3 linked regions of the Struthio camelus genome follow. The protein of the gene in region 3 interacts with the protein of the main gene of each other region in a pairwise test. Links are inferred from orthologs where the notes say so. Each region holds a gene or a part of one and is shown on either strand. Other genes may lie near its edges.

Evidence for each region. The genes of interacting proteins can lie anywhere in the genome.
Region 1: the proteins of TMPO (region 3) and LMNA interact in a two-hybrid assay, tested with the Homo sapiens proteins (2 studies listed by BioGRID, with this or other methods). The link is inferred for Struthio camelus from reciprocal best matches to the Homo sapiens genes TMPO and LMNA.
Region 2: the proteins of TMPO (region 3) and LMNB2 interact in a two-hybrid assay, tested with the Homo sapiens proteins (2 studies listed by BioGRID, with this or other methods). The link is inferred for Struthio camelus from reciprocal best matches to the Homo sapiens genes TMPO and LMNB2.

The regions. Positions count from the first base shown.
Region 1 is NC_090971.1:3,833,959-3,841,134, forward strand, and holds the start of LMNA (lamin), read left to right. Parts: upstream 1-4,176; 5' UTR 4,177-4,295; coding exon 4,296-4,897; intron 4,898-7,176.
Region 2 is NC_090967.1:1,606,829-1,614,356, forward strand, and holds the start of LMNB2 (lamin-B2), read right to left. Parts: upstream 3,001-7,528; 5' UTR 2,892-3,000; coding exon 2,691-2,891; intron 1-2,690. UniProt on the Homo sapiens protein: Lamins are intermediate filament proteins that assemble into a filamentous meshwork, and which constitute the major components of the nuclear lamina, a fibrous layer on the nucleoplasmic side of the inner nuclear membrane.
Region 3 is NC_090942.1:53,314,669-53,322,256, forward strand, and holds the start of TMPO (thymopoietin), read left to right. Parts: upstream 1-4,574; 5' UTR 4,575-4,739; coding exon 4,740-4,982; intron 4,983-7,588. UniProt on the Homo sapiens protein: May help direct the assembly of the nuclear lamina and thereby help maintain the structural organization of the nuclear envelope. Possible receptor for attachment of lamin filaments to the inner nuclear membrane.

The DNA.
Region 1 (7,176 bases), on a different chromosome or scaffold from region 3:
CGCGTGCGCGCGCGCCGCCGTCCTTTGCCCCACGCCGGCCTGGGCTGGCGCCAGCTCATTGTGTGCGCTCTCCCTGCCTGCGCCGAGCTCCCCGCTCGGGGCAGCCAGAGAGGGAAAAACGTCCGTTAAAATGCGAGCGCGACCCCCCCCCCCCCCCCCCGCTCCGGCTCCAGCAGCGCTGGGGGGGTGGCAGGGAGGAGAAAACGTGGCTCGCTCAGGATTTTGCACTCAGAAACTCACCGGTTGCAGTGAAACAGGGTATTTAGGGTGCACGTGCACATGGGCGTAGCTCGGGCTACTGACTGCACGCCGAACTGCCTGATCCCGCGCGCGGGAGTGACCCTCGGCGGCTGCGGGCAGAGGATGCAACGCTGGGAGGGGGCAGGAGGGCCCGGGGTCCCCTCCGCCGCCCCGATCCCCAACGCGCCCGCGCGATGCTGGAGCCGCTTTTCCTTTCGACCCCTGCCCGCGGCGGGGAAGGGCAGCCCAGCAGCCAGATGCTTTTCCCGCTGGGCTGCCTGGAGCGGCCGCATCCTCGCGGCTCGGCAGCCCCGTCGCCGCACCAGCGCTCCGGGGTTCGGCGAGCGTGGAGCGGGCAGGAAAGCCCGGGGCACCTTCGGCCCTGCCTGGTGCTCTGGGTGCTCCTCTCTGCTGCGCCCCGAGTCCCTGCACCCCTGGGTGCTCCCTGCCTCCCCCGGCTATAGCCCGGCCAAAGGGGGCTTCAGAGCTTGCACTTTAGGATTGCTTTTGCTACTCCAGAGCGCATCCGCCACCCAGACAGGGTTCGTTCGTGCTCCCGAAAGCGAGGCACGGGGCTTGCCGGGGGACGCAGGCGTCCCCTTGGCTGTCGCTGCGGGGCGCGCGTCTGCCCCAGCCTGAGCAAGCGCCGCCGTTCGCGTCCCGGGAGCTCGGAGGCGACGCGCTCCGCCGTCCCGGGCGGACGTGAACCCCCGCGGGCCCCAGTCTGCAGCTCCGCAGCCCTGTCCGGCGCGTCCGGCTCTCCGTGGGCTCCGCTCTAACCGCCCAGCGGCCCGTCGCGGGGCCGCTCGCGGGGTGTCCCGCCGTTCCCGGGCAGAAGTCCTCCTGGATGGCTCCGCGTCGCCCTTCGCGGCTCTCCTTCCTGCTGGCGCATCCGAGCGCATCGTTGGCCCTGCCCTGGCTCCTGCTTGCTGCAAGTTTCAGCTCTCTCAATAAATACAACTGGTAAATCTATTAATTTTACAGCTCTAATTGATGTATTGCTGCAATTACCTTTTATAACAAGGCAATTAAACCCTATTAAAGATTATTAGCTAATTAAAACTCCTCTATGCGCACGCACAAACCCCCTTACGCGGGTGGGCTGTGGGTGGGAAGGAGGGGAAGCCCCCAGCGGCCGGGGCCTCGCGGGTCAGCCCGGCGCTGGGTGCCACGCGGCAGGTCGGGACGGCGGCCGGGGGACGCGTCTGCCACCGCGGCGCCCTCCGTCCTTGGGCGGCGGGACCGCGCTGCTTCGTGCCCTGCTGCGGATGGCCGGCCCGCCGGCTCTCCGCTCCCTGGCGTCGCGTGGGAGCAAGCTCGGGGGCCGGGATGTTGCCCTCCTGGGGGAGGTAGGGTTAACGGCGCAGCAGAGAGGGTTGGAAAGGGAAAATCCCCGTGTTGGAGATAGGGTGTGCCTGCTTTGGAAAGGGAACAGCTGGAGAAACGCCCCGGCTGGGGCCAGGAGCCAGGGGAGCACCCAACAGCGGGAAGGCATCTCCGTGGGATCACGGTGCCTCCGTCCGGCGTTGCTCCGGGCCTGCGAGAGCGGGAGACGATCCCAGGCTGCGTAAAAACCTGGGAAATGAAACCCCAGGATCCTCGGGAAGAAGCAAAACCGGAGAGAGAGAGAGAGAGAGGAGGAGAAAGGTTGGGCTGCGAGGGCGGCTGTGGCGGGACGTCCGCAGGGCTCGTCCCTCGGCAGCGCCTGTCCCGGACGCGCTCTCCGTCCCCGCCGCTCCCCTCGCTGCCCCCCAGCCCTCGGAGCAGCCGCGCTTCATCGCTGGCCACGTGTGCACATGTATGTTTGCATTGTGGCGTTTGCAGGCACCCGACGTTTCCGGGCTTTTTGCAGGCCAAAGAGCTTTGGAAGCTGAAAGGAGGTTGAAATTCCAGGGATGTGACTGCTTTCTGCTTTCTGAGTCACCGCGGGAGCTGGCCGGGCAGGATACGGGAGCGTCTCCGCGAAGGGCGCAGCCTCCCCGTCCCTCCGTCGCCCCTCGCCGGTCCCCCGCGCTCTGCGCCGGCAAGCCCACGGAGCCCGGCCTTTCGCTCCCCGAGCGCTCGCTCGTGCAAACCGCAGGAATTCACGTTGGAGGGGCCCAAGCGCCGGGCTGCGCCCCGACCTGCGCCGTGCCCCAGCCGGGGAGGGAGGCGCGCGGCCGAGCCCGGCCCAGCCCGTCCTCCCCGCTTCGCCCGTCTCAGCTGGTTCCAATTAAACCCCCCTCCTGCCTTGCGTAAATGACAAAAACGCCTCTCTGCCATCTGGGAAGCAGCCGGAGCCGGTGGCTGCTGGGGGTGCTCAGCCCGCGGGGTCCTGCGCCGGGGGCTGCCGGGACCGGCTGCGCCAGTGACCTTTAGCTGTGATTTTTAAGCTATTGCTCAAGCCGGTCCCTTGCTCCCAAACGCGCTTTGCCGTGTTAAAGCACGGCTGCTTTAACCCCCCCCGGCCGGCCGATGCACGCCGCCGGCGGAGGGTGCAAAGTGCTTTTCTGCTGTCCCTTCCTGCCCGGCGTGGTTTTTCTTTTTCTTTTTTTTTTTTTTTTCTCCTTTAAAACAAAACAAAACAAAGCTGCGGAGCGGAGGAGGCCGTTGGCGTCCCACAGTGCCCCGCGCGCTGGCTCGGCCGCGGCGGCGCGCCGGAGCCGGCGGCCAGACCCCGCCTTCGGCGGCGGCGAGCATCGGCCCTCGGGGACGGACGGGCAACCCGGCGGATCCGGGAAAGGGATGAGGAAAAGCAGCCGGGCACGAGCGCCGAGGCAGAACGAGGGCGGAGAAGGGAAAAGCACCAGCGGGAGGGAGGGAAAAGCTCGCACGATGCAGCGAGGAAGAGGAGGGAGCGAGCGGGGCAGGCGCCCCCGGAGCGGGGAGGCAGCTGCGGCGCCGGGCAGCGGACGGCATCGCCGGCCCGGCACCGCGCGCCCCGCTCCGCGGGGGTCTTCGCCGGCCCGACGCGCAGCGAGCGGGAACGGGGAAGGGGTACGGCGAGGCCCCGCTGCCAGCCCTCCGCCCGGGCGCCTTCCTCGCCGGCCTCGGGGCTGCTGATTTTTTGAAAGCCGGCCGCTGGATTTTCGCCGTCCCGCTCGCCCGCCCCGGCTGCCGTTCCTCCCCGGCAGCCGTGACTCATCGTTGCCGTGCAAGGAGCGGGGTGGCGGGGGATTAATCACCGCCGGCGCGCGCACGCGTGTGCGTGTGCGTGCGTGCGCGTGTGTGTTTGTGTGTGTGTTGCTCCGGTTGCTGCGTGAGTCATTCCCGGCCTGCCGGCGCCTTTGCTTCCCTCCCGTTAGAGGCAGTTCAGCTGCGTTGCAACGGGAGCCCGGGCTGCGCCCCGCGGGCGCCACGCTGCAGCGCCTTGCACCGCGCCGGGGGAGCGGCGGGCGCCCGCCGCCCGGCTCCCCGTCCCCATCCCCGTCCCCATCCAAGCTGGCCCCGGGAACTGGGGGGACGGGGAATGGCTGGGACTGGGAACTGGGAGAACTGGGGCGACTGGGATCACCAGCGCTGGGAACTGGAGAAACGTGGGGGGACGGCTGGCCCCGGGAACTGGGGGAACGGGGAATGGCTGGGATTGGGAATTGGGGGAGTGGGGAATGGCTGGCACTGGGAACTGGGAGAACTGGGGCAACTGGGCACAGCTGGTGTTGGAAATTGGGGGAACTGGAAACTGGGTGCAGCTGGCTCAGGGACTGGGGGCAATTGAGAAACTGGGCACAGCTGGTACTGGGGAGAACTGGGGCAACTGGGAGCTGGGCGCAGCTAGTGCTGAGGACTGCAGGAACCGTGAGGACCAGGCAAAGCTGGTGCTGGGACTGGAGGAGCTGGGGAAACTGGGGGAGCACTGAGCCCCCTCTTTGGAGGTCTGGGGGTGCTGCAGCAGCGTGGGGGACCCCGGGGTGCTGGCTTTGGGGCCCCAGGGCTCTGTGTCTGCCGTGCCCTGGTGCTCTGGGTGCCGGGGGGGGGGAGCTGGCACCCAGCTCGCTGTGGGGCAGCGGTGGCGGCGGCAGCGTCCCCCACCCCGCGGCCGAGGCCGGCTGTCCCCAGGCCCGCTTTTCCCAGGGATGCTTTCCCAGCCTTTTCCCAAGGAAGGGGCCCTGGCGCTTGACGCAAGCGGGGCTATCTCCTCCCCGCTGGCCGATAACTCCACCCTCCTCCTCCTCCTCCTCCTCCTCGCCGCGGCTCCGCCTGGCAGTGCGCAGCCCAGCTGGGATATAAGCAAGTCACTCGGGCAGCCCGGAGCAGCCGAGACGCTTGGGACGCGTGCCGTGTCCTCGACGCCGGGTTTCCCCCCCCCCCCTCCCGCCCTCCCCGCCATGGCGACGCCTTCGCAGAAGAGGAGCACCCGCAGCGGGGCGGCGGGGACGCCACTGTCGCCCACCCGCATCACCCGCCTGCAGGAGAAGGAGGACCTGCAGGAGCTCAACGACCGCCTGGCCGTCTACATCGACAAGGTGCGCTCGCTGGAGCTGGAGAACGCCGGCCTGCGGCTCCGCATCACCGAGTCCGAGGAGGTGGTGAGCCGCGAGGTCTCGGGCATCAAGGCCGCCTACGAGTCGGAGCTGGCGGACGCCCGCAAGACCTTGGATTCGGTGGCCAAGGAGAGAGCCCGGCTGCAGCTGGAGCTGAGCAAAGTGCGGGAGGAGCACAAGGAGCTGAAAGCTCGGTGAGTGCCGGAGCGGGGACGGAGGGGGACGATGCCACCGCCGCCTCTGCCCGGACGACCGCTGTCGTCACGCTTGGCAGGCGGCGAGGACGCGGGAGCCGGGAGGGAGGAAGGAGCGGCGCGGAGGAGGCAGGGAAAGGGGAAAGCCGCGGCCCGGCCGGGGCAGGAGCGCCCGCGGCGGGGGCGGCTCTCCCGGCGTTCCCGGCTCCCGTCCCTGGCGCCATGTTCGCCCGGGTGCCCTTGGAGGGGGAGGCGGGCGGGGGGGGGAAGCAGAGCCGGTCGGCGGCGTCCTCAGCTCCTCGGTCGGGGACCGGGCGACGTGGGGCGCGAGCCCCGGGCTCCGGCCCCTCCGAATCCGTCGTCTATTCCTAAACGCCGCCCGGCGCGAACCGGGAAGCGGTGCCAGCCAGCTGGCTCCGTCCTGCCGACGCAGCTCTCCGGCTCGTCCTGTTTTCCTCCGCTGTCTTTGGCAGCTGTTAAAGAACCTGCTCTGCTTTTGCTCGCCTTAACCCTGCCCGCGCCGGACCGGTCCCCCCCCACTGCCACCGCCGCGGAGATGCTCGGGCAGCGCCCGCGTCCCTTCCCTCCCGCCGCCGGGCGCCCCTGCCCTTCCCCGGTACCCGGCCTGGGCGCCCGCGCGGGGCTCGGCCAGCCCGTCCGTCGATGCCCCCGGGGGAACGGCGGCGAGAAACCTGCGGGCGCGTCTCCCCCTCTTCCTCCCGGCTCGAGCTGAACGCTGGCTGTCTCGTTTTGAGTCCCCGTCCGAGGGACTAACGAGGCTAAAATTAACTCGCTCGGAACACGCCATAAATAATCCTACCTACTGGGAAGCGAGCGACTGCGCGGCCCTGTGCAGCTGTCTCTGCAAAACCGTGCGGCGTTTTATATTTAGCTTTGTGTTTTCCCTCGCCCCGGCTCGTGCCCGCGGCGCTGCTCGGCTCGCCGCCGGCATCCCGGCCGCGCCGCGCTCCGGCTCGCCTCCCGCAGCTGGCGAGGCGACGGGCAACGCCTGGTTTACGCAAACGCCGAGTTATCTCGGCCGGGATCTTTCGAGAGCTGCGCGCTGGCTGGGGTGGGGGGAAAAGATAGATATATATATATATATGCGCCCGGCCTTGCACAGCAGAGCCGTTTGCAAAAACCGTACGGCTTTTCCCCGCTCCCGCGTCGCGGTTGTCCCCTAAGGCCGGCGGACGCCCCTTCGATCGCGCAGGAAGGGGGGCTCGGCCGGGGCAGAGGGGCGCGAACGGGCCGCCGCGGCTCGGCGCCGTTGCCCGAACCCTTTCGGCCGTCGAACGCGCGTCGGTAAACAGGGAGGGGAGCTGCGGGCGCAGCCCGGCGCTGGTGGCGTCGGCGGAGGGGGCCGGGCGCCGCTCTCGCCTCTCCCATCCGGCCGGGCTGGGCCCTACCGGTCCTGCCGGCTCTCCCGAAGCCCTGGGTCAGCGCCGGGCGCTAACACCTCGCCCAGCTCATAAATAACTTGCAAAAACATCCCGGCCGCCGCGTTTTTCCCCCCCTCCCCACCTCCCCTGCAACGCCTCGACCCCGGGCGGAAGCGCGCCGGGTATCTCCCGGGCGGCAGGCGGCTCCGGCCGGGCGTTATCAGCGGCCGGCAGCGCTGCGCCCGCCGCGGGGCCGCCGGTTGTCTCGGCGGTGCAGGAGGCAGGGCGGGGGGCTCGCGGCCGGCACGGCACCCGCCCGCCGGGGCCAGAGGGGCGCCGGCTGCATGGCGGTGACGGCGGCGGGACGGGCTGCACGGCAGCGTGCCGGTGCAAGAGCCGCTCCGTGCACGGAGCAGGCTCCGGCTCTGCCCCCGGCCCCCCTCCTGGTGTGTTTTGCCCCAAAGGGACCCCCGGAGCATCCCGCCGGGGCCGGCGAGGGGTCGTTCCCGGCTGGCTCGGCCGAAACAGGAACCAGGCTCCAGTTAGCAGCTCGTCTGATGAGCGACGGCTTCCTGAACTGCAGCCCCTAACCCGATTAAGCCGGCGGCTTGGCATCGCCTCTTCCTCCCCAGGGCCCAGATCTCATTCCCGCACGGGTGGATTTTGCTCCGCTGCGGCGTTTTGCACGGGAGGGGGGGAAACCTTCAACCAGCCGGATGGTCCCTCCACCTCCCGATGCGTCCCCGCTCCGGTCCCATGGAAATTTTTCCCCGGGGGAGGGTGGGGGGGAAAAACAGTTTGGCTGGGGGAAGGATCCGCCCTTTGAGAGCGAACAAAGAGCGGATTGTGCAAGGCGGCGGGCGACGCCGGGCTGGGCCGGGACCCCGCGGTGCCCGA
Region 2 (7,528 bases), on a different chromosome or scaffold from region 3:
ATGTTCATATTGAATACATTGGAAAAAGAAAATGGGTTATTTTAAAGATGCAGAGTTAATACAAAGATTTAATGATGTAGTCAGAACAGCACGTCACTATCACTTGACTACGCTTAACTGTGCTTCTGCACAGTAGTTTGGGGGTTTTTCTTTTTTTTTTTTTTTTAATTAGCATCTTACTTCACACTGCGTTTAATCATTTTTAGAACATACATTCTAACACTTTAACAATCAAATTGGACTGTTAGCTGAAAAATTTTTTTTACCAGATTGGTTCCGAAAGTCAGAAGTACAGGATTCCCTCATTTCAGTAAACCTGAAAAATCTCAAAGCCATTGCAGGTTTTAGCGTTCACACAGCCCTGAACCTCTGGACCATTATTTCACTTCACAACACTGACAATACTTCCAAGTCTCTTCTTTCAGATATGTGTATAGAACAAAGGGAGAGGGGAAGCATCTAACAAATGCAGTCCAGAGACCAGTAAAAGTATCTTAAAGTCACTGCCTTTGACATACCACAGCAGAGCCTGAGGAATCCAGACAAAGTTATTAGAATATGTCCAAGAATCAGGACTTTTAAAAAAAAACTTGGATAAAAATGAAGAAAGTAAGCTCAAGGGCAAAATAAGGATTTATTAAAAATCAATAAGGATTGATTAAATACTGAAGAGTTAACAGAAGTCAGTTTATGTTCATGCTAAAAACCTAATGAGAATATACGTATGCTTCATGCTTGCCTTGTTTTTACTCTCGTTACATGCACACTGTTAATAAATGCAGGAGGCAGACGGCAATTCTAAGACGCATATTCCCTTCTGTACTCTCCCAGCCTCCAACAACCTACAGCTTAGAAGCTCTCTGAACCAGATACAGTTATTCTGTTTCAAGCATAATTTCACACAGGACAAAAGATGTAAGAATGTATTTTGTTTAGAAAAAAAAAAAAATCAAGCTATTTGGAAAATATAGAAATTATATCATTAAGTGGCACAAATGGACTTTAAAGTGTTTGATTTCTGGAAGTACAGAAATAACTAGGCAGGCAGATCACTCCCAAAACAAGACACTATCATATTTGGTCCATTTCAACTAAAGTGCAGTAATTCCAACCCTCCTCCCAGTACCCCTAGTATTAGATATATATACACACATTTATATGTATATATATATATATATATATACACACATACACACACACTGTATATATATAGATAGATAAAAGCAGCTACATAGCAGCAGTCCTTTGCAGTCCACAGCAGTCCTTTGCATCAACACAAGTTACCAAGCAGGTAACCACAAGGCTTTCCACAGAAATTTAACTTCATCTGTGAGGTGGGACACCTTACCTTGCAGAGTGCCTCCAAGAGATGGCCAAGTGGGGGGTTTTGACTGGTACAGGATAGGTGGGACTGTCCCCAGCTGGGTCACTGACTACATCCTTCCTTCATATGGGAAGGAGAGTCCTGGGGGAAAGCAGATACAGCAGAATAGGGAGAAGCAAAGCATGGCTTAGAAAAAACAAAAAACAAAAGTATCAGCCAGTTTGCCTCCAAGATCACAGGAAACGGCCCAGATCCCCTATCATGATGGGAACACTCAGCAAAGAGTGGTTCACGCTACAAGGACACACTTAGTTCTAGAGGGGCTAACAAAGATCATCTCCTGTAAAAAGCAAAGTTTGCCTAAACTCTTTCAGATTTTTTCACCTTATCACATCAGCAGTCAGAGTGGGGACCATAAAAGAAAAGGTGACGTTCAGGTTGTTGCAGCTCACAGGATGTGCTCACCACGTGGGAGTACACCAAGGCCAGTGCTCAGCTCACCAGCTTACCTGTGATAAGGGAACAGGCTACAGAGTATAGCAAAGTAGTAGTCCACAGCAGAACAGACCTGCACAAAAACTGACAGGACCCCGAGCACTGTATCAGCAGCAGGAACTAGAAGATCCAGTGAACCAGATCTTTTGTGCTGCGAGCCCTACCTGAGCAAAATAAGAGCAGCAGCTTACACTTTCAGCGCTAGACCCCAATACCCTAACTCCTGGGAAGGGCACTATTCTCATGCCTCACCCTAAAGGAGGGCTCCAGCACAACCAGCCTGCAGAGGCAGCCAGCGGTGCCACTCCAGTCCAGCTGTAGACATAGAGTTTGCTCCAGGCGTGGGAATTTCACTCAGTGTCGATACTGGCCTTATCCTAGTTTAGGTGTCACCAGGAGTCTCTTCTCCCCACCTAACGGCAAGACAGAGAGCCCCCAAAGGGCCATTCAGATACAGAGACGTTTGACTTCTACAGCCTCCCGCAGAGACGCCGAGGTTCCGCCCGGCCCCGGCGGCTGTCGCCTCCAGCCCGGAGCAGGACAACTGGGCAGAGCCAGGACTACCTGCCCCAGGGCACTGCACAGCCGGGCGGGGACGGCGCCACGGGCCGCGCACTGCACCGCCGCACCTCGCTGCTGCCCCGGAGCCGCTCCAGGGCTCTCGGCGCCGGACGGGCAGGCGGAGGCGCCGCGGCGGGAAGGGGCCCGCCGAGCCCGGCCGCGGCACAGCTCCGCGGGCCGCGGAACCCCCTCCCCTGGCAGGAGCGGGGGAAATGCCCCCAACGGGCAGCCGCTGCCCCCTTCCCGCCCCGGGAAGCCCCCGGCGAGGGCTAGCGCAGCCACCCTGGACCCTCCCGCCGCCCCGCCGTACCTCCCGAGTGGTGACCTCCTCCTTCTCGGAGATCTTCAGTAGCAGCCGGTCGTTCTCCAGCTCCAGTGCCCGCACACGGTCGATGTAGACGGCCAGACGATCATTTAGCTGCCGCAGCTCCTCCTTCTCCTGCAGGCGAGAGATGCGAGTCGGCGACAGCGGGGTCCCGCCGGGGGTGCCGCGGCTCGGGGTGCCTGACATGGCGCTCTCCTCGCGGGCAGGCGGGCAACCAGCTCATTCAATCCAGCCGCACTGGGGGAGGAGGGAGCGCTAAGATGGCGGGCGCCACCTCCCCTGCCGCCGCGCCGCTTGGGAAATGAAGTCTCCGCGCCAAGATGGCAGTCCTGCGCCGCAGGGCGTGCCGGGAGATGTAGTCCCGACCGGCACCATTTTGTGAGTCGCGGGCAGCGCCGTGCAGTGCTGACGGGACCTGCCGGCGGCAGCGGCCCTTAGCGCGCTGTGCGGTGGCTCCTGCTGGCGGATGGCCCGCTTCCTCAGGAGGGCGGGGACCTCCCACCCCCGCGCTGGCTCCGGCTCCGTGTTTGCCCCAGTACCTCATGCCCTGGGGCAATGGGTCCCCCTGGTCCTGAAGTGATTCTCCCTCCACAGCTTCAGTTCAGGCTCTGCTGAAGCGTTTACCACCACCGTAACGGCCTCGTGGTCTTATGGCCTCTAAGTCAGAGAAATGAAGACTGTTCCCTGTGGTGCCCCAGACCTGTGAAGCAGTCCTGCATATTGGAAAGGAGAACATTTTTTTCTAGGAACTCTTGTTACTGCTATAGCAATCGCCAGAAAACAGGTCACTTCTGAGTACGTTCTCTCATTTTTGCATTAATAAAGCCCAATAAAGCTCATGAAAAAAAGATCCAGTAAAAACGTAACTGTACAATCAAATGCTTTGATTTGAAGAGTTCACATTAATTACAAGTGATGCAGTGCTGCTAATTCTTACAATTTTATTGAAAGCTTTGCAATACTTCTCTTACAGTCTATCTTTTCACATTAGTTATCTAAAACTTTGTTATAGAGCTCTGTTTTCAGCTGTTTATAATTTTGCCATGCTCTGCTGTTAGCAATGAAATTTTGTAGGCCAATTGTCTGCTCTTTGCTCACATTGACAGTGGGGAGTTTCAGGAAAAATACATATCAGCTATTTCCTAGGGTGGATTTTTAGGAGGGCTGCTTTGTAGATTTCAGAAACTCCTTCCAGATTTTTACTGAGATAATAATGCCTGCTAGCCTTCAATCAGGGAGTTCAAGAAGGTAGTTATCCTGAAATCCTTTTGCTGTCCCAAGGAATGCAGCCAAATTTGTACAAAATAAAAACCCCTGGAAAGTTTCACTTCCTAGAAAGTTTCACTTCCTAGAGATTTGGAGTATTATTTTTCCCAGATCATATTTTTACTAACTATTCCTCAATCTCTATCAGTTCTTACATATTAACCGGTAAAAACTGATTAGCATTCCCATGAGCTAATGCCCTATGTCTCAGAACTTTGGAGTCTGAAAAGCATTTAGGGGAGTTGTGTCTTTCGGCTACCAAAGACGACTGAGAAGAGAGAGAGAATTCCTGCCTGAGAACAGGGAAAACCAGATTAAGATAAAGCAGTGGTACATGCACAGAAAAGAAAAAAGCAGCATGAGTGTAATGCAAAGAAGAGATGTGCATGAGCGGGAAGACAGATCTAGACAGAGAAATATTAGAAAAGGCAAGAAAATACTGCATGTTTAACATGAGAAGAAACACATGAAGCTAGGCTGGCCAAATAGGCACAAAAGGGCTTATCCTCCAAACAGAAGTTAGACTGCTCTCATGTTAGAGGATCTGGGATTCAAATATCAAGTATGCCTCATACTGAAAACCCTGAGATTGAACTCAGGAATTCTGGACATTCATCGTCTGTTCTCAGTGAATAGCTGTAAGTCCTCTTGAAACACTGCATTTCTCAGCAGCTGATCCATATAGAGAGTACATTTTCATCTGAATGTATCTGTTCAAAAATATGCATCTGATCTGAAATAAGTCATTTGGGCTTTGTCTGTAGACAGCAGAGAGTGCCCTCCACACTGCAGTTCATCCCACCTGGGCTCAGGTATCCGACTTAGGATAGACTTGATTCATTTTTTGCCTATATACTACAGAGAGAGTTGAGAGCAGGGGTTTCCACACTGAGGTCTGTGAAGCCCTGGATATCACTGCTTACCTGGAGGGAGTTCATGAAAGATAAACAAAATGAAAGTAAGCACATAGATCAATATATGTCATTTCTACTGGCATTTAATCGACCTCAGATAGTATTTTAAGATCAGTGCTTCATTATCAATAAGATATTCTTTATCAGTGATAATCTAACCAAGTCACCATATGATATACAACTCAACATGAAACTTGTAGCTTTCTGACTGAAATCATAAACAGTTGTCTTTGACTTGAATTTATCTGAAAAAGGACGAGGAAAAGAGAGACTACAAATCCCAGAGTGCTGCGGTTTCTTCTTTGAGCGCAGAAGTCTCATTATGCAGCCTCTGCCTACTCAAGGCACAGACAGAGCCATAGTGAGGACAGCCCAGAAGCCTTTGGAGCCACCTCCTTCTGCGTTGTTTTCATCTGAGTCTCTGGATTTGAAGTACAGTGCGTTTTTTGAATTTTGGCGCCTGTCTGCAAATTGTAAACCAACTGCTCCTGGAGCAGCTCCAGCCCTCAGCCACATGCCTCTTGCTGGAGTTTCTAGGATGTGCGTGTTATGTATCTTTTCAAATATAGCTGCCTTCCCCCAAGCAAAGCACAGGAGTATTTGTAAACACTAAGCCATGCACTTACTATGAACTTTTTGCCTCCCAATGAGTACAGTTTCCAACACTGCACCACACAACACAATTCCAACACAGTATGTGGAAGACCTGTAATAAAATTCGGTTAGATTAAGCCAGAAGAAACTATTTTAGGAATTCTGAAAGCCTCTGTACAAGCATTTTCGGGTTAGCTTATTTTTCCTTTCATGATTTGCCACTACACTGCACTCATCTGTCATATTTTGGAAATCCTTTTAAACCCTTTGCAGCATTTTGATTGGTAATGTAATCCAGGTTTAAATCCCATTTATTCATGAAGCTTAGCCCAAACTCTCCTATTCTTCTTTTCAGATTTTTTAGATAATATCTTATAAATTTTGTATATTTCAAGGTATTTTTTTGCCTTCTAATGTTGCCAGTTATTTTCATAGTACTGCTGTCAACTATGTCACAGCAAAATCTTTTTTCTAAATACACTTTCTTAAATATCCCTCCCTCAAACTTGGACTATTGAGATGTAATACTGTCTATGTTTTTTATGGAAGATGCCTTTCCTTAGCAGTAACCAGAACACTTACATACATATACTTCATCCTTGTTATCAGTATCCTCTCCCTGTTCGCTGAACTTTTATATTCACTTTTCCTGTCTCCACTAGAGAGAAGAGAACAGTTGGGGGGTGGGATGGGGAGAGGAAAGGATCAACTATGTAAAGGAAGTGTAAAGAGAAAAGCTGAGAGCCAGCTAGACAACTGCTGCTTTAGATGGAGTATAATGCTTTAGTCATGGAATTAGCATCTGTTCAAATACTAGTCCTCTTGATTGCTCTAATGATATGGTTTAGTATTGAACCAGTCATTCATCTCTCAGTTCTTAGTAATTATTTTCTCATTAAGGACCTTGACAATTCAGTGCTACTAAAAACATTTAATAATAAAGTTCCCTCGCTGCTTTCAGAAGGTAGAATTGATTTTTTAGCCCAGGACACAACCATTTGTTGTTTAATAAAGGGACACTCCAAGGCTCTGTCAATGTCACTTGCTTGGGATGGCAGAGGGCCATGGCATACAGTGGGACTGTGTTCCCTCAGCTGTTCAGATTGGGAACCTGTTCAGAGCACACCAAGGCTCCTGTCTGCTCACTCCCTCCTTCTTCATTTTTGTAGAAACCGGAGAACAGGAGAAGACTGGTGTGTGTACAGGTTTCACCTCGCTATAAAGTCAGGAACTTGGAAGTCCCTCAGGCTCAGCATTGGAGCTCTAGCTCAGAGGTACTTCCAACATATCTGAGTGTCTCAGTAGGATAAGAATAAATTCTTGGGATGTCAGAGAATACTGACGGTAGCAAAAGACTTTGCCTAGCACTAGAATGCTTCTCTCATGAGAAGAAGAGATTGCTCACAGTCACTGCTAAAGACAAAGTAAAACCTCACACATCCTTTGATGTAGAGCATCTTCCCAATTGTTTGCCAGGCAGTTTTCTTGTGTAACTAGCTTTCTGATGCTATCTTAGATTTCATGACAACTTTGAAATTTTCACAAATCTGAGGACACAGGATCTCCACTGTTATTTCTTACCTCAATTGCTTTACTTTCTCAGCAGCTGCTGCCATGCCTTTTTCTTTCGCATTCTGCCCTGATCTGCACTCTATTATTCATACATCTTTAACAGCAGGATCATTTCTGTCTTTTATATAGTAGTCTAACTTCCCCTATGCCTTATATTCCTTATCTCCCCTCTGAATGACCCATGTTTAATCAATGTCTCAGATACGTTCATTCTTTTTAGGAAGGGGCAAGAATGCTCTAAGGACTGAAGATATAGCACAAACCATTCTTTTATCAGCCCAAATTCAACTCAGCTTGACAGTAATTAAAAGTTACTTGCAGCCTCCGAAGGTCTGGGAAGTACCCTGCTTTCTCCACCATAGGACTTATAGCTTGCTACAGATTTCTGCTCTAGAATTTCAGTTTTCACTTTAAAAAATGCTTCTAGAAGTAGGAGGACACAAAGCACCAAAGTAAGTAGAGAAAATTAATAGTATG
Region 3 (7,588 bases):
AAGTAGGAACTGATACTTCTGTTTTCAGCCTTCATTCATATAAGCCTTTGTCTATCACAATGTCAGTAGTAAGAAGCTTTAAAACTGTAATTCCATCCAGTTGTACACATTTCTTTCCGTGCATGAGGACAGAGTCATACAGAATACCGTCAGAGCTGGATTCCTCTCATATTGAAAATATGAGCAAACACCTGCCTGTTTACCACCAAGCATATCCCCCTGTGGGGGGGATGCTAATGAGAGTGTGGTAGCCTGGCCTGTCCACCTGGTAAAAACTATTTCCACTGCAAATTCAGGAACAGGTTTAACTTTTCCCCCAAGAGAGAGTTGCCCTGTACGTCCTTACAGTAAGGCATGTTTTTTTCTTATCACTTTGCCATTTACACTTGAATTATGCTTAAAAAGATATTTCTAATAAGAAAGGTAGAGTTATTAAAAAGCCATATATTTTGTCTCAGTTCTCTAAATTAATCCAGAATGTGGAAAAGCATTGAGTGATTCTAGAAAGTATAGTTACACTATGCCTTAATGATTAGGAACTGCTTCCCTTACTTATAGGAATGTGCTTTCTAGTTTCTCTTGCCTTTCAGAAAGGGAATGTTATTTTCATTTTCAAGCGTACCGTGCATCCAGACTGAGTTAATATTTTATATAGGACTTTTACATTTCCTTTAGATAGGAAGATTTCCATATCAACTCAGTTTAAGGCAAGGGCAGGCCTGTAGCACTTCATTAAATGTCTTTGTCATTAATGAATTTACAGTTTTCACAATTTTACCATGTATTATGAGACAAAGATTAAACATGAATGCAAATTATAAAGGTATATTTCCTGATGGCGTAAATGTTATCCAAAAACTCTACTAAACTCAGGATAATCTTTAAACACACAGACATAGAAAATTAACATTTATATTGTAGCGCAACATAAACAAGGTCTCATTTTTACGTGTGGCATTAGAGGTTAAGAATTGTAAAGCTGGCAAAACTCTAAGCTAAAAATCTGAGATAATTTAGAAGGGCTTCAGTGTTTTCATATCAAAGTCTGCATGACTGAAAATCTCTTTCTCACACTCAGGAAAGCTAAAAAATTCCAGACATTTGGGAGGGTCCTACATAGGAAGTATTTTTGGCTTTTGCTTTCAGCATATTTCACATTTTTAGGCAAGCTTACAGTAATTTTTCAACCACTGAAAATGGCCATAGTCTTGTACTTCCAATTTTCACTTTTTTCCTAAACCTTTTTGTCACCTGCATTTATACTGACAGGAGGTAACACTTGACTACAGGTTTCTCAGGTAGAAGCAGGTGTTTCAGCCCTTGAAAAGCAGAATTTGAGGTAAGGCATACACATTTCATTTAAAGTACTGGAATGCTTCACAAAGCGATATAGTTTTCTATTTCAACCTTTAACATGCAAAACAGCTAAACGGCGTACAGATCGCTTAGGGTTTCTTTTTTTTTTCTTGTAAGAACATTAGAAAGATCTTTTGAGCTCGTTCCTAATGAACTCATTCCCTTTTTCCTTCTGGCTGCTATCTTATGCTGCAAAATTTAAGCTTTCTTTCATTCAAACAAAACAAACAAGAAAAATGCAGATCCTCAAATGTACTGAGCTCTAACTGTGGGTATAGCTGCAGGTTTGCAGTTTCCAGTGTTAATCATAACGTAGGTACACGTTTTGATTACCTCTCCTAGTTCTTCCCCTTTCTTTACCTTGTCTGGAGAATGCCTGTTGCTCCCAAGGAGCAAAAATGAAAAGTGTAGAACTGTGTATGCCAACTTGATACTATACAGGATGTAAAGGACAGTTTTTTGACAGGTTTTTCTATGGACCCTGCTTCACAGAAATCTACTGGCCTGCAATAAGGTAATATTAAAAGCGTAATATAACATAACTTTCCATGAGGAGGAAACAAGTGCTCATCTCCCATTTAGCTCATGTAACTTGGGAAGCAGCTAACAGAAAGCTGGTAAGAGTCCAGTGTCCAAGCAAGGGAGTTACGCCAACTGACGTTTAACAGTATAACTGAGAAAATCATTCATGACAAATAATACATATTTCTATGGTTGAGGAAATAACTTTTGAAACAGAAACGGAATATAAATATGAACTGTAAGTAACGTTAACCTGAAGTTCCACAATCACTAGTACTGGATTTTGAGCAATTAGCCAAAGCATATGATGCTGAGTTTCTGCTGGCTTTGTTCTTCTAAGCCAGCTTTGCCTGACTCCAGGAGGACAAAAAGACAGACCCAACGTAAAGCCAGTTAACCCACCTAGTTATTTTGAACAAATCTGAACTGGCGGTGTAACTTTGTAGTGATTTACTGCTCCATTATCATCTCATTGTTGCATTTTTTATGCTACACTAAATGCATTAAAAGCAGACTAACCATCAAAATACTTAGACTGAAGGGTGAGCACTGACCTGAAGATCAACGTTTTTCATTCCTCCCACTGCTGAGGGTCACTCGTAATGAAAGGAGCATCAACTGCAGTGCATATTCTGAACTTTACAAGGAGTTGCAAACTGCGGCTGAATTCCACTAAGAAGCAGCAGCAGCAGAAAACAAGCTTCAAGCCTAAAGTGTAGAATGCTCTGTTGTCTGTGGGGTTATTAGATGGAACCCGCATCAAATTTTTTGATTGCATTTTCACTGCTAACTTTGGTTTAAAATTTCCCAGATCCAGTTTTCCCTTACACTGCTTGAAAACGTTTGTGACTCAACGCCAATGGAGTTTCTTGTTTTAAGATAGCATGATAGCTGAAGAATCTCTCACATAATGCCTGTCTGAAGCATGCTCCATGTTAGTCTGCAACTGGCTTGTTATCTGAATCAAATCCTGAAACAAATGATCTACACTTTAAATTACTACTGTCAGATTTGGAGAGGAATTCAACTTTCACTAGGCATTTCCAGAACACTTCTTATGTGATACCCATGTTGCAGGAAAAACATTGGGTAAGGTATGCTGAAAAATAAATTGGACCATCTAATTTATTCCATTTGGGCTTAAAAATAAGTGATAGTAGTCAAATCACAGTGGAGTAGCAGCATTTGCTCAGGGTAGGCTCTTAATGGAAGAAAAATATTTCTACCCACAGTTCAGACTCATTGTCTAACAAACTGAGCAGATAAAGTGTATAGAACAGTAAGAACTGAATAGTTTCTTCATTTTAGATATATATTATTAGGAATGCAGACAATGACCACAGCGTATCATTACTTGCAGTGGGGGTAAAATTAAAGTCCCCAAGCTAAGCTTCTCCCTTGTATTAATTGCTTTCTTATACTACACTAATTAATCAGTAGCATCAGACTTTTTGTGGGTGGGTGCCGGATTTGCCTGCAAATTCTCTTTTACCAAAACGGCCCTCAGCAGCTTCATCTAGCCAAGACGGTAGCGATGGCTGGGTAAACACAAATGACAGCCTCTGTTGTCATTGATCGAACAAACCAAAAGCAGGACGTTCTTTTTCTCAACAACAGTTTAAAACCATTCTCTTCTGGCGACGTAAAGGAGTGGATGCAACCAGTACTCACCTGGTTTCACATCTATGTTTTATGGGCAAATTAAAATAGATTCACATTTCAGTTCTTCTTAGCTGTGAAACTACAGTATGGTTCCCACAAACATAGGATGTACGTTCAGATCTAAATATTAAACTTCTCACCATACAATTTATTCAAGATTTATAGCAGTGTATATTCCCAGCAAGCACTATGTAAATACAGAAAGATTTAACTCACTTGTCCTAAAGACTTTGCAGTCTTACGATTCAGTCCTACCACTTCCTCAGCGGGGAGAGACTATTGTGAATTTTTTGAAACCAGCTCGATGCAGTGACTACACCCGCCTTTTAACTTTTCCAATACGTTAGAAGGGATTCCAGCATCTTTGAACATAAAATTTATCACAGCTGCCGCAGTTATACTAGGAGACGAGCTAGCGCTTTCCTGGTTGGGTTTCTTCTCTAGGCTGGCAGCGCGTTAAGTGGAAGTGAAGCACTTCGCTACCGGTAACAGAAAGTTCGGCTACTGTGGGAGAAGACGCTTTAAATGTATTTGCGAGGCATTCGCTTGAGCACACTGAAGACCAGCACGTGACAAACGCTGCAAGTCGATCACGCCGGGGAAGCCGGTGCCCGAGGAGCCGCGGCGGCGACGCAGCCCGCGGCACTCCCGCAACAGGTTGTAGGCGGGCGCGCCAGGCCCTCCTTACCCCCGCGGAAGGGCGCAGGGCCGGGCCCGAGGCACCACCCGCGCGGGGTGCGCTCACCCCTTGCGCGGCAAGGGAAAACACCCCGCCGCCGCCGCCGCCTCACCGCCACGAGGCGGACCCTCGCTGTGGAGGAGTGGGGGGAACGGACGGAGCGGGAGCGGGACGGCGGCGGCCCCTCCCCCCCCGCGGCAGCGCTGCCTCGCGCGCCTCTCCCGCCTGAGACGAATTTAAACTGCGTTACTATCCCTCGCGCAAAGCACTAACGCCGATGGAACCCGCGCGCCGCTGCCTTTTTCCGCCCGGCAGCCAATAACAGGGCCGTTTCGTTCCCCTCCCCGCCAATCGGGGCGCGCCTTGTTGCCGGCTGGGAGAAGCGCTCGGTGCGCGCGCCCGCCGCGGAGCTGGGTCGCTGGCGCGGGGCAGGCGAGTCCTTCCCCCTCCCCTCCCCGCCCCCTCCCGCTCTGCCCGCGCTTTGTTGGTGCCTCTCCCGGGCGGGCGGCAGCCGGCGGCGATGCCCGAGTTCCTGGCGGACCCGTCGGTGCTGACCAAGGAGAAGCTGAAGAGCGAGCTGATCGCTAACAATGTGAGCCTGCCGGGCGGCGAGCAGCGCAAGGACGTCTATGTGCAGCTCTACCTGCAGCACCTCACCGCCCGCAACCCGCCGCCCGCCGCCGCGCAGCCCGACTTCTCCAGCGACGAGGAGCGGGAGCCCACGCCCGTCGGCGCCCGGAGCCGGGGTGCCGCCGTCGGCCGGGTGAGCGCAGCCTGCCCCCCCCCCACCGCGCTGCCTGGGCTTCCCGGCGGCCCCGGCCCGGTTTCCCGCCCGAACGGGCCCGCCCGCCCCTGCCGGTCCCCGCGGCTCGGGGGCTGCCGTGCGGCGCCCGGGCTGCCCGCACGCCTTCCCGCCGGGGCGGCTGCGGCGAGGCGAGGCCCGGCCGAGGGCGCGATCGCGCCCCTGGCGTGAGGGAGCGGGGTCGGGGCGCGCTGCTAGGCGGCCGCCCCGTACCGGCGGGTTTCTTCCCGGTGTGACCGCTAACTGGGACCCGCGGTGCCCGGCAGCCCGCCGGCTTTGCCCCCGGGTCGCGTCCCGCGTGTGCGCCTCTCGGTAGCGGCGGCTGCGGCGCGGCCCCCGCTGCGGCGGCCGCGGAGCGCGGCTGAACGCGGGAGCCGCCGCGGCCGCCGGGAGTGCGGGACGTGAGATCCCCGGGCTGTAAACTTGGGACGTCTCGACTTCGATTTGACTGGCGGTCTCGTTGCGAAAGTGCTCAAGTGTTGGAGAAACAAAGCAAGAGAAAGTGTGCACGAGGCTTCGTCTCAGGAACATTAGACAGGAGCCTCCTATAAATTCAGTTGCACTGAAACAACCCTGATCTGAATGTCCCCTCTCGGATGGGAGGATGAAACTGTGGTGGAACAGCTTCTTTGTTTTGCTTAATGGAGTGGACTCTTTTAGTGTAAAGAGTGTCTGCTTAATATAGTTGGCTTTCTCATACCTCTGAGCACGTGTTTCATAGCAAAATGCCTCTGCTGCAAGGATTCAGCTGATTAACTGTTACTTGCTCTCCTAGACTTTATACCAGCATGTGTGCAAGGAAAAAGGTGTAGCTGTAGCTCAGGACACTTAAACTTTTTCTATGTTCGATAATATGATTTTTTTATTGTTATTTTAGTAAGTGCCTTGTAAATTTATGTATACTTTAAAAAGCAATCTTTTCATAATCTGAAGCTGAACACACTGACTCATCTTGCGTAAAGGTTTCTGCGGTGTTTGCCGGTTACTAGAGTTGTAATTCGTATAAAAAAAACTCGTGTCTGCAAAAAATAATCTTTCAAAGTTTATCTGTAAAGAGGCTGCAGAGGACCAGACTTTTTCGAAGGTTTTTTGTACTTACAGCATATACAAATCTGAACAACTAACAGTTCTTAGTTTAAGAAACTGAAAATTGTAACTGAAAGAGGAAGAGATTTTTAGTTAAATTGCTTACCTCTTTTTAATATGTGCCTAATTCAAATACTGAATTGATGTTCACTGTAGAACACTTAACCGTGGACTAGGCGCTTCTCCAGTTCAGTGATCTGCCTGTAGCATTTTAAGGTGCTTTCAAGTAGAAGAGAATGACCTTGAATTTGAGTTGTAAGAGGAGGGAAGTCTCAACTTCTGAAGTCCCAAGACCTGATTTTTTTCCCTCTCCTTTCTCCAGTCCTTTCACTTAAACAATTATGGATGACTATTTTATTGTTTACAGAATGGGTGGTACTCTTGCACTTTGGTTAATAATGTCTGCAAGGCTCTGTGCTAGTTATGCTAGTCTTCCTGTGTGTTAACTTCCGAGCAGTGCACCTTGATGCAAAACTTCAGAGAATATTGTAGTGGCAACAGTTGGAATTTGGTGGGTTCTGCTTCTTTTGCACCCCTCCCCTCCCTGATAGCTCAGTTGATGCATAGTACAACTTAGGCAGTTCTGAACCTACTTGTAGCTTGATTAGCTGTTGTGCTGCTTTGATTTGCTGTCCTTCCAATAGAATAACATACAGGCCTCCAGAGTGATATGTCTCCAAAATGTTTGGAAGGGAGAAAAGGAGTGAAGAAGGTCTGATGTGTAGAGGAGTGGAGTTCTGGTATGGAGGCAAAATGAAAGAAGCTGGTATGAGTGATTACTTTCCCTCCTGTTGCTTTTTAAATCTATGTAAGAGAGGAAACTGGGAATATAGGGAAAAGGGAGGAAACTGAGGCTTGTACTCCTCTGGATAACTTCATTTTTTTTATTTCAAGTATTTGTTTTATGCATTTTTGTAAAAGACCAGAAAACAGTTTTCAGTGGGTGCATATGGAAATGCAACTGCGTTGTCACCTGTGTAAGTATAACAGCATTGCTTTTTTATTTTTTTGTTAGGCTAGGATATGAGTAACAAAATTGCAATGCTTTATTAGCTCCATTTTTATGTATGTTACAGGTCTGGAAAAATGACAGTACTGACTTACGTATATTGAAAGGAAAATGCAACCAGTTGTTCTAAATCTGTAGACAATCAGCTATTTAATGTAATCAAGCATTTTGATGTTTTAGAAACACATTACAAAAATATTCTGTGGGATTTTTTTAATTGGTCTGCTCTATTCTGTGGTTCCCATATTGCTCTTAAATTTGAGTGCTGTTTAATTTGAAAATTGCAAGAGGTTTTTTCAATCAAGGATGACTCAATCGAAGCTAGTATTAACTTGTAAATGCCTTTGAAAGAGCACTTGTGTAGTTTTCTGTTTCAGAGGGTTCTGGCCCACTGCGCTTTCTGTGATTCCTGATTTTTGGTGTTCCTTTGGACATAGCTTAACTTTGTGCATTCATTCTGTATCTGTGAGTC